Caenorhabditis elegans: one gene and its partner. The protein of the gene in region 2 purifies or fractionates together with the protein of the main gene of each other region. This does not show direct contact. Each region holds a gene or a part of one and is shown on either strand. Other genes may lie near its edges.

Region 1 (6,518 bases), on a different chromosome or scaffold from region 2:
CAATGCGTTCTGATAGAATGCCTTTTATAAAACTGTTTTACGTTTGTTCAGCTTTTCCAAAAAGTTAGTTGATCCATTAAAGTGCCAAATCGGTGGGATCATCAGGTGTTTGATCCTAACAGTATCCATTTTCAAAAACGATGTTTGCATTTGTTATAACGGATATGGAAAGTTAGCAAAATTAATCATTATGTACACATATCCTATTTGAGTTGTCATGAGTAACTGGAGTGATGCTTTCAGTTGGCATTGTTTCACTGCAAATACGGAATTTTCACCCAAAATAGGAATTTTGCGGGGGTGGGGTTTTCAGTAGCCGGTTAATTTTTAATTTTTTTACTAATCTTTAAAAAAACGTTTGATTCAATGAGGTCACGCTTTAAAACAACAAATAAGTTTGGCTAGCAATAAATTTACATGAGAACATGTAAAACATCCAATAACAAAGTAATCCTTTCTATTCTTCGTAATTTCCTATAATTAATCACTTTCGATAATGATTCAATTTAATTTAAAAAAAAATAGACATCTCATTGCTATTAAAAAACTTGCACAACACGTTTTTGCTACAGTTGTAAATGTATTTTAGCTACCAGAAATATGTTTTCTGACATTTGGTAAGAAGCATTCAAACTGCACAAATGGTATCTGCAATAAAATAAAATCAAAAAAATTGCAATAAAACATTCCTTTTCAATTTTTTTTCCAATTTTTCAAAAGCAATTTTTTTACAAAAAGTTCATAAATTCAAAATCAAATAGAGCAAGAAAGACTCGTAAAAATACACTGTGAAGCTCATAAACCTGTTTGAGTTTTGAAACAAGATCGTTGAATGTAAGAACAGACGGGGGTCTTTGGGATTGGATAATGAAGCACTTTAAAAGTGTGTACAAGAATATTGGTTTGAAACATCATCAGATGAGGAGCCATTCGCATCGGCCGGGACAATCAGCAGTCAGTTTACCAAATTGCTCACAAATCTGCGACAGACGATTTTCATCAGGCATCAGTCCTTTGACGTCATGAAGAGCAGCAATTTCGGAGAGGACGAGCTTGGTAAACGCCGGCCATTGCCCGTTGCGGACCAGGGCACGGGATTTTTTCAACCACATCCGCGGATCTTTCCCTAGCAATCGATGACATCTGGCCGCTGTCATGTAGTAGCACGCCTTCTCGGTAAATGATCCAAACTGTTCAATGCCTTCATTGCATTCTTTCAAAAGTTTCAGACATTCGACATACTGACCATGGCACATCTGTAAATTTAGATTCTAAAAATTGTTTTTCATTTGATAAATGCGATGTTCTCAGAAAACGTTTATTTTATCTAACTAGTAAGCGAGTATAGTCTGACATATCTGGTGACATCTATAAAAAATACAATACCTTATGTTTTCAAACATCTCACTTCAAACAATTTTTAAGGCTGAATAAAAAATAATTTTCGGAGTGCAGCGCAAAATTTACGGATTCAAAACCCTAACGACAGTGCTCCACTTTGTAGATTCTTCAGTGAAATATCAAGATGGCGTAAAAAAATTCATGCAATTTTTTCTTTACATAAAATGCTTACCAGCATAGTTGCTTGTCTTCTCTTGACCATTGGCACAATGTCCTTCAGTGTGGTGTTCTCAGCAAGACTCAAGGCGTCTGCAAATTCTCTTGCAGCTTTTCTAAATTCTTGACTAGCCGTGTAAATGCATCCTGTTTGCATGTGAATTCGAATTCTTCCACGAATGTCCACAACGTTCAATCCCTCCAACACTTCAACACTTGCCCGTTCTTTTCCGGCTGCGGCGAGGAGAAGAGCTTGTCTAAAAAAATTATAGAAATTAAATGAGGTAATACTTTCAATTGCAACTCACCGAAGCTTGCATTCTAGTTCAGAGTGTGCTGCGAGATTCAAAACTTCAGAAGCACAAGCCTTGTAGTCATTTTTCAATAAGAATCTTTCAAAGTTGATGACAGCTGCACAAATGACAACGTGACGGTTGGACTGCCAAGAAAGTTCTTCCGGATAATTTTGTCGCATTTCCTCAATAGTTCTTAGTGCCGCGTCGTAGTTTCCGACTCCAGCTTGTGAATAAGATAGGTTTACCGCACCAATTGCCTGAAAATTGATACATCATACTTGAATTTCATTAGATACATATAAATTTTGCACCAATTTATTATTTGTCACAGTTCTAACTTGTACTTACCCAAGGTTCGGCCTGAAAAGGAGCCTGGAAGGGGTCTGTTTCATCGGTTCTGCAATTGTTTGCCAGCATGTTTTCTGCGGCGCACTTTGCTTGATGATACATTCCATTATGAATCCTGAAATTCAGAATGGTTTCTAGGCCATTTGCAACGAGCTACTTACATGTTACTAGATATCAGAGCAGCTCCATAAGCAGCCACTTTTCGTCCTCGTTCTCCAAGATCATTACCGACTGGACACGTTATTCCGGTTTCCGCAACTCTGTCGTAGATCCTGTAAATTTGGAAAGTTAAAGCGACGTCTCTGATTGAATGCTCACAGCTTATAGTTTCCTTCTGCAATGATCTTCATCAACATGAGCATTTTTCCATATGAGTCCATCTCTGCGACAAGCTCAAAATCTTCTTCAGAACTTAGACAGCAAGGCCCGGATCGCGTATGTCCGTGAAGACTGAAATGTACTAATTAGTTTTATGACTCTATACTAGTAGATAATCCAACTTACTCGTCTATGTGCAGCAAGGCTTTTCTCTGAACTCGCCGTTCATTTTCAATGTGCTTAGCGGTTTCTGCAAATTTGATTTGTTGTTGTCTTAGTTCTTATTGATTCAAAAAATAATAGACGAGCTCACTTTCATTGTTATCCTCAAGCAGCGCCCTGCATCCCAATATGTCGACAGTGTGCATTTCGATGTTGGCCATTTGATGGCAAATCTCATCATTTCGGAGCTGGGCTTGTTGGAGACTCTCGTGGAGCAGGAGACGAGCCATTTGGCTGGAAAATGAGAATATTTATGTACTCTTTATTGATATATCTTACTAGTCTCCAAATATTCTGCAAATTCTGGCTTGAAGAATCGGTGCATACATCAACGGGGTTTGAGTTGGAACTGCCAATCGATGCGTTTTTGCGGCATGCACCATGTTCTCATTTAGTCTGAAAATTATTTTTTTTGTTCTTAAACCTCGGTGGCGGTATAACGGTATAACACTTACTCAAACATGGACAACTCGAAAAACGATTTCATTGCCTTAATAGCCGACGAGCTATCTTTCAATTGAACTTGCACAATGGCCTCTAGCAGGAACCCTTCAACAACGTCCGGGTGTCGCTTCTGTACGATCCGGGTGTAGTGAAGCATCTCGTTATATTGGAAGGCAAAACGTGGGTTCTTCTGTAAAAACATGGAAACATTATTACTTTTCTTTTGTCAGTTTCAAACAGAGCTCCCAGCTGAGTGAGGCGCAAAATCCGGGCCTCACGCCGTCGCCGCGCGCCGCTGTGTGTGTGAAATGAAGTTCGAGAGGTAGTCATTCAAAGCGGCCGACACGTTCGGGGTTCCGCAGCTCAGCGTGAAATGAGTAGCATGGTGTGTGCGCAACGTAGTGTGAAAAGGTGGTGGGCTGGAAGCGGCCGACACGTTCGGAGGTCTGCGCTTCACTGTACATGCGGCGAGGGTGACGACGTGAGGCTGGCTCGGCGACCGCATGGGAGTTTTAGTTTCAAATAGTATCTCACCTGAATGAAGTAAATGCTCTTAGCAACCCAATCCCTTGCTCTGACAGAACAGTCGATGAAGTGTGGAAGATACTCTCCCTTGAACTCGGGATGATATCTGCAAAAGTTTCGGTATTTTTAGCAAAGCTTCGTCACTTACTTTGATTCAACAGCAGACAAAACCCATGATTTCATGGCTGCATTTATCTGGAACACTTCTGAAGGAGTTGACTTGGTGTATTGTGCCAGGAGCTGAAATATAATCAAACTGAAACAAATTTTTTCGATTGAAAAATCATACTCGTTTCATCCATCTGTACATAAACGAGTGATTGGAAGAAAACTGGATAATGTCTCCGCGCGCCAAGTCCATAGCTTCATGTACAGTGTCATTTGCTGGCAATTTCGGATCCTTTGGGTGCTTGTTGGTGTAGAACTCATCTTCAACGTTAAGAGTAACATCCGCCATTCCGGCGCCAATTTTCTCCATACTGAAAGAATGGAGAGATGCCAGCGGATTGTTTTGTATTATTGATTATGCTTATAATGCTCCAGAAAATCGAGCTAAGAAACATTATTGCATTTAATTTATTGTCGAATTGTTTGACTAGTTTTTATAATAGTTTACAATAAATTATAATGTTTTTTTAATTGTATAAAATGAAAATCGTTTGACTTACGCTGCATAAAAGTTTTTACAAACTTCACGGCCGTCATCAAATGCAAGTCGAGTGACAATTCTGAAGTCCTTATAAGAAAGCTCCACGACTGACGTCATCAATGCATACAGCCAATGGAAGATTCTAAAACATGAATTTGGTTTCTTTTTTTAAAATTTTTCCAAACTACTTACCGTTCTTTTTCGGCGGGGCTAAATGGTTTGTAGTAAGCACGTTTGTGACGGAATCCAAAGTGTGTTTGAAAAAGAATGCGAAGAAGGTAGAACGTTGCAATCTTAAGTAAATTTTTAGTACTTTGAAGGTTTTCTAAACTAAAAAACTTACTTTTGTTGGAGTCACTGGCTCTCCTGTCAAATTTGAGAAGACATGGCCGAAAATTGCATCCAAGTTGAGATAACTCCGTTTGATGATGGGCCGCGGCGCCGCTTTCTGCATTTCTGGAAAAAAAATATATAAAAACCTTGTTTTTTAAAGGTAATACTAGAAAATAGACGACTAAAATTCAAAAAAATGAAGAGGGATCGGTGCAGGTCGGTGGCTGCAGGCGCATTATTGGTTTGCTGGCGTGTTTCTCGTGGAGGAGGGGCGGGCGGGAGGACACACCATGTAGCAGAGAAAACTCTCTTATTTTGTGCACTCTCTCATCGGTATGGCCCGTTCTCAAACAACACACAACAGATATTATGAAGACATGGTTTTGATATGCATTCAGTTTACTAGAGACAAACTACAATAAAAGAGGAACGATGAAATTAGCATAATCCGCAAGTTTTAGCACAGTAGAGTTCACGTTGAGCATCTGTGTAGAAGCTGTTAGTGCAGAAGCCGTTGGCCGCCCAAGATGAGCATCTGAAAGTTCAACTTGTTTTAGGCTAGTCAGTAGAATTGATTGATCTTACGATGAAGCTGAATCTGTGCAACTAGATGATGTAGAAGCGGTAGAGCTCGACGAAGAAGAGTCACTGGAAGAAGAGCACAGAGAGCAGGTAGCTGCACAGTACTGAGTTTTGATAGCAGTAGTGTAGAAGGAAGAAGTGCAAAATCCATTAGCAGCCCAGGAAGTACATCTAGAAGGTTTTTATTTTGCAAGTGGCAAATAATCAAGTCTTACGTGGAAAAAGAATCTACACATGTGGTAGTGGTTGAGGAAGATGTAGAAGATACGACAGATGTGGAATCTGAGGATGAAGTGGATGATGAAGAATTGGAAGAGGTTGTTGAAGAATCAGAGGATGTAGTAGAAGAACTGTCAGCTGTTGTTGTGTCTGAAGAAGATGTTGAAGACGCGGAGCTGGAAGATGATGAAGAAGATGAAGAAGAATCATCACTGGACGTTGCAGCTGTGGACGAAGAAGAACTTGTAGAAGCAGTGGACGATGAAGAGCTAGAATCTGAAGAATCAGAGCACAAAGAGCAGGTTGATGCGCAGTATTGGGTTTTCTGAGCGGTAGTGTAGAATGTAGAGGTGCAAAACCCATTGGCAACCCAGTTCGCGCAGCTGGAAGAAAAAAAAATGAAATTTCAAATTTCAAACTGAATAAATAATCTGTAACTTACTTTGAAGCCGAGTCGGAGCACATTTCAGCGCTTGAAACAAAGAAAACAATTGTTAAAACGAAGAAGGTGTTCATGGTAGTGAGAGTTGAAAGTTGAATGTTCTGTGGGCCCTCACTGGCTAACTTTTATCCGATCTGTTTCCTGTTTGAACAACTGTCACAACGTTTTGACCCCTAATAAGCATTGGCACCTAGAGGAGGAACTATTAATGAATACATAGGTCTATAACAAGTTGCGCTCGATCATATGAATCATAAAGTTGCTGATCTTAAAAAGACAAATGAATTTTTATTTCTGAACTATGTTTTAATGAAATCAGCCAATAATAATTATTATTACAGTTAAAATTTTAATCGGTGAAAACTATTTCATTTTCCCATTGATATTACACCAGCAAACCTGCGTCTGCAAATGATGAAGGTCAAACGCCACATGCTACGTTTTCTTGATAACGATATCATTTTTCACTATTTATTTTTTTCAATCATCTTCAAATTTCGCGGCCCGGTTAGCTCAGTCGGTAGAGCACCAGACTCTTAATCTGGTTGTCGCGGGTTCGAGCCCCGCATTGGGCTTATCCTTT
Region 2 (3,715 bases):
TGAAAAACTAAATGCAACAATATGAAACGAAGAAAGATTTTACCGGGAAAAGTCGGTTGTCGGAGTCGGAAAGTCGGAAAGTCGGTTTATTAAGAAATTTGAAAAACATGATTTTCGATCACAATTTTTTCACTGTTTCCAAATTTAAGTAAATACTCGGTGCTTCTTTCTATGAAAGTGATTCACTCGTTTGAAGAGAAAAAAATTCCTTGTCAATTGAGAATTGAAAATCAGAGAGCTTCCGACATCTGGTGGGTTCTTCTGTTAACGTGAGAGTAGCCCGTAAGATGTCGGCCGTTATTTTTCTTCTCAAAAGCCAATTATAAACCTGTAAATGTTTCCGAAGCGTCCGACATCTGCCGGGTTTCACTCCACTAATGGGAAGTGGGCAAGGGGGAAGCCGGCAGATGTCGGTCGCTTAAAACTATTTAAAGTCTGCTTTAATGTTTCTATAAATTTTAAAATTCAATTTTCCAGATCATCGCACCATCGAGCACCCAACCCGGAAAGTTTCGATTAAACGAGAGCGCCTTGAACTCTGTATTAGGACATTCTGCGTGTGCTAATAAAAAAGTGAGTTTTGTCTGTTTTGTATGATGTGTGGTAGTAACAAGAAAATTTTTGGAATGATACTTTGTTCGAAATAAATCGAAAATAAATAGTTGGTAGAGGGCTTGAAGACTTAACGGCGGGTTCCGTCCTCGAAGAAGATTCCTCCGTCCAAAGCGCAGTACCTGAAAAAGTAAAAAAGTTAGGCGACTATTCAAATACTTGAATTCAGTTTCAACATACTTTGGACAGATTCCCTTCTCTCCTGGAGTTCCGTCTTGTCCTGGAGTTCCTGGCTTTCCTGGCTCTCCATCCTTTCCTGGCTCTCCTGGAGTTCCTGGTTCTCCCTTGGCTCCTGGTGCTCCTGGAGCTCCATCGATTCCGTTGGATCCTGGTGGTCCTGGTGGTCCTTGTTGTCCGGCCTGTCCTGGTGGTCCTGGTGGTCCTGGAACGGCTGGCTCAGACTTGGCTGGTGATCCTGGCTCTCCTGGGGCTCCGGCTTGTCCTGGTGGTCCTGGTGGTCCAATCGGTCCCTTTGGTCCTGGCTCTCCTGGTGCGGCGTCTGGTCCCTTTGGTCCTTGCTCTCCTGGTGGTCCGTTGTCTCCTGGAATTCCTGGCTGTCCTGGTGGTCCGGGTGGTCCTTGTGGGCATGGCTGGCATGGTGGTGGGGTGGTTGGCTCACATGGTTGCTGTGGTGGACGTCCTGGAGTTCCTGGTTGTCCTGGAGCTCCTGGCTTTCCTGGCTTTCCAGGCTTTCCTGGGGTTCCCTGTGGTCCTTGTGGTCCTGGCAAGCAGCAGCCGGCGCATTGCTCGTTGTAGGTAGAACGGGCGGTACGGTTGGCGCTCAATGGGAGCTCGCGGATGGAGTAGACAGAGTTCCACACGTCCTTGGCGGATCCCTTGCAGGCGTAGAGCTCCTGGTGCATCTGGGTGCGCACGTGTTGCACATAGTTGTACACCATTGGGAGGGTGATGCAGACCTGAAATAGTAAAATTTCAACAAAAAAAATTGAAAAACTAGCAGCCGGCACTATATTGGTATTCTTTTTTGCAAAACTAACAATCGCAGAATATCAAAAATAATCAACTAGGAATTTAGGTTTATTTTGAAACAGTAATTTTTTTAGAAAAAAAAATTAAAAAATAAAAACTTTTCTTACCGAAAGAACAGCCATTGCTGAGAAGCAGACGGCGGCATATCCGACGAAGCGGTAAGCCTTAATCTTCGAATCGATGTCCATTATTAGGCTTTGGAAGCTGTGAACAGACCGATGATTTCGACGCATTTCGCCATTTTATAGCGAGTGCGGTGAGCCGGCTGCTTAGCCAGTCCCAGCGCCCATATCTCTATTAATCGGACACTATTTCTCCTATGCAGGGGGGGTATGCCTTAGAAAGTTCAGGGTGGAGGAGAACGGAACAGGTATTTGCGCCCAGGCGTTGCCCTCCTCTTCCCCCGCAAAAGTTTCTTATCTCCGTGAAACAATCATTTTTGTATCGCTAACACTGAGGAGAGAAAAAAGATGAATGTGTTCATGATTTACCTATTAATGGGAATGTTTTGGTTATTTAGGGTATTTATGTAGAAAGCGTTTAAAAAAAATTTAAGTAATGTTTTAAAAAATGTACTGTTTCATTACTATCATTTATTGGATAGAATTTAAAAAAATATTCGTTTTCAAAACTTACCAAATTGTTTGAAAAATACACTGTTTCATTATAATCATTAATTGTGTCGTCTTAGCTGACAAATTAGTTTACTGGATGTATTAATCTCATTTTAAAAGTAATGTTTTAAGTTAAAAAAATCAAATAAAAAATAAAAACGTGTAGCATAGGATTAGGAAATGATAATTTCTAAGCCTGGTGCAAAAAATTGTACATCACGTTTAAATTAAATGGAGAATTGAATGAGCATTCAATTTAATTCAAAAATGACAGCATGTAATACAAAAGTACTGTTAACTTCAAACAAACTCACTGAAATTTTTAGAATTTTAAAATACTATAAAAAAATTTACTGTTTCTTAATTTTCATCAATTAAGGGGAGTATAAATAACAATATTCCAATGTAGGTATTTGTTTTTCAAATTTATAACAATGTAGTAAATTAATAGTTTGCAGAGGAATTTTCGAACACAATTTTGATTAACATTGAAAAATACTGAAAACGAAAATGTATCGACAGCAGCCTCGATTAGAACGGTAATTCACGAAAAAATTAGTAATTCTCAAACTCCGCAAAAATTGGATAATTAAATTGTTGAAAAAAATTATAAATATTTATGAAGGACTGGCGAAACAGAAAAAAAATTTTAAAAATTATCAACTAAAGAATCAACTGTTTCGTTATTATCATTAATTGTGTCGTCTTAACTGGGAAATTAATTTTGGTGTCGAAAAGTTTCAAATTTTCAAAATATAATTAAAAGTTACTATTTCATTGTTATCATTAATTAAAAAGAGTTTAAATAAAAACGTTGCGAGTTTTTTGCCCAATAATATTTAAAAACATTTGTGGAGCCTTAAAAAACTTAAATTTATTATGAAAAACAACGAAAAAAAACGAAAATTTATCGACAGCAATCTAAATTAGAACAGGAAAAGTGGTAAGTATTCCCTCTCTACAACTATTAGTTTGCAATTATTTATAAATATGATGAACACAAAAAAAAATTGAAAAAAATTAATCAACTAAAAATCAACTGTTTCGCTAATCTCATTAGAGCAGTTGAAGAAAAATAAAGTATTGTATCAATATTATTATTAATTAAAGAGATTTTTAAGAGAATATTTCATTTTGTATAAGAGAATATTTCATTTTGAGGTTTTCTGAAACAAAAAAAAGAGCTTTTTTCACTTTTTTGTCATTTATATTAACAAACTCGTTGTAAATCAGTAGTGCCCCAAGAATGGAAACTTGAAAATTTGAGAAAAATAAATTGTGAAATAATAATTTTCAGACTCCAAAAACAACTTCGCCTACACCGAATTTTATAGTTGCATTGCTATGTACTTTTGGAGTATTTTCCGGGGAAAAAAATTCAATAAATTAATTTAAAAAATTTACTGTTTCTATTTTGTCATAAATTGTTTCGTTTTAGCTGGGAAATTAATGCATTCTTTTTAAAATTTCTTAAAATTTCAAGCTTTTAAAATACGATA

Evidence for each region.
Region 1: the proteins of dpy-4 (region 2) and gfi-3 purify together in Caenorhabditis elegans (affinity purification with mass spectrometry, with the first as the bait; one large-scale study listed by BioGRID). This does not show direct contact.

What each region holds. Positions count from the first base shown.
Region 1 is NC_003284.9:14,478,869-14,485,386, reverse strand, and holds gfi-3 (Protein gfi-3), read right to left. Parts: upstream 4,816-6,518; 5' UTR 4,814-4,815; coding exon 4,703-4,813; intron 4,653-4,702; coding exon 4,552-4,652; intron 4,502-4,551; coding exon 4,379-4,501; intron 4,190-4,378; coding exon 4,000-4,189; intron 3,951-3,999; coding exon 3,859-3,950; intron 3,817-3,858; coding exon 3,720-3,816; intron 3,376-3,719; coding exon 3,197-3,375; intron 3,138-3,196; coding exon 3,021-3,137; intron 2,976-3,020; coding exon 2,833-2,975; intron 2,770-2,832; coding exon 2,706-2,769; intron 2,652-2,705; coding exon 2,520-2,651; intron 2,474-2,519; coding exon 2,363-2,473; intron 2,317-2,362; coding exon 2,202-2,316; intron 2,111-2,201; coding exon 1,866-2,110; intron 1,815-1,865; coding exon 1,574-1,814; intron 1,257-1,573; coding exon 915-1,256; 3' UTR 685-914; downstream 1-684. Other genes in the region: M163.11 (ShKT domain-containing protein), read right to left, coding at 5,131-5,227, 5,278-5,445, 5,490-5,876, 5,936-6,009. UniProt on the Caenorhabditis elegans protein: Probable component of the anaphase promoting complex/cyclosome (APC/C), a cell cycle-regulated E3 ubiquitin ligase that controls progression through mitosis and the G1 phase of the cell cycle.
Region 2 is NC_003282.8:14,984,963-14,988,677, forward strand, and holds dpy-4 (Nematode cuticle collagen N-terminal domain-containing protein), read right to left. Parts: upstream 1,823-3,715; 5' UTR 1,791-1,822; coding exon 1,710-1,790; intron 1,621-1,709; exon of another isoform or gene 1,599-1,620; intron 1,530-1,598; coding exon 793-1,529; intron 735-792; coding exon 683-734; 3' UTR 581-682; downstream 1-580. Other genes in the region: atln-2 (GB1/RHD3-type G domain-containing protein), read left to right, coding at 478-573.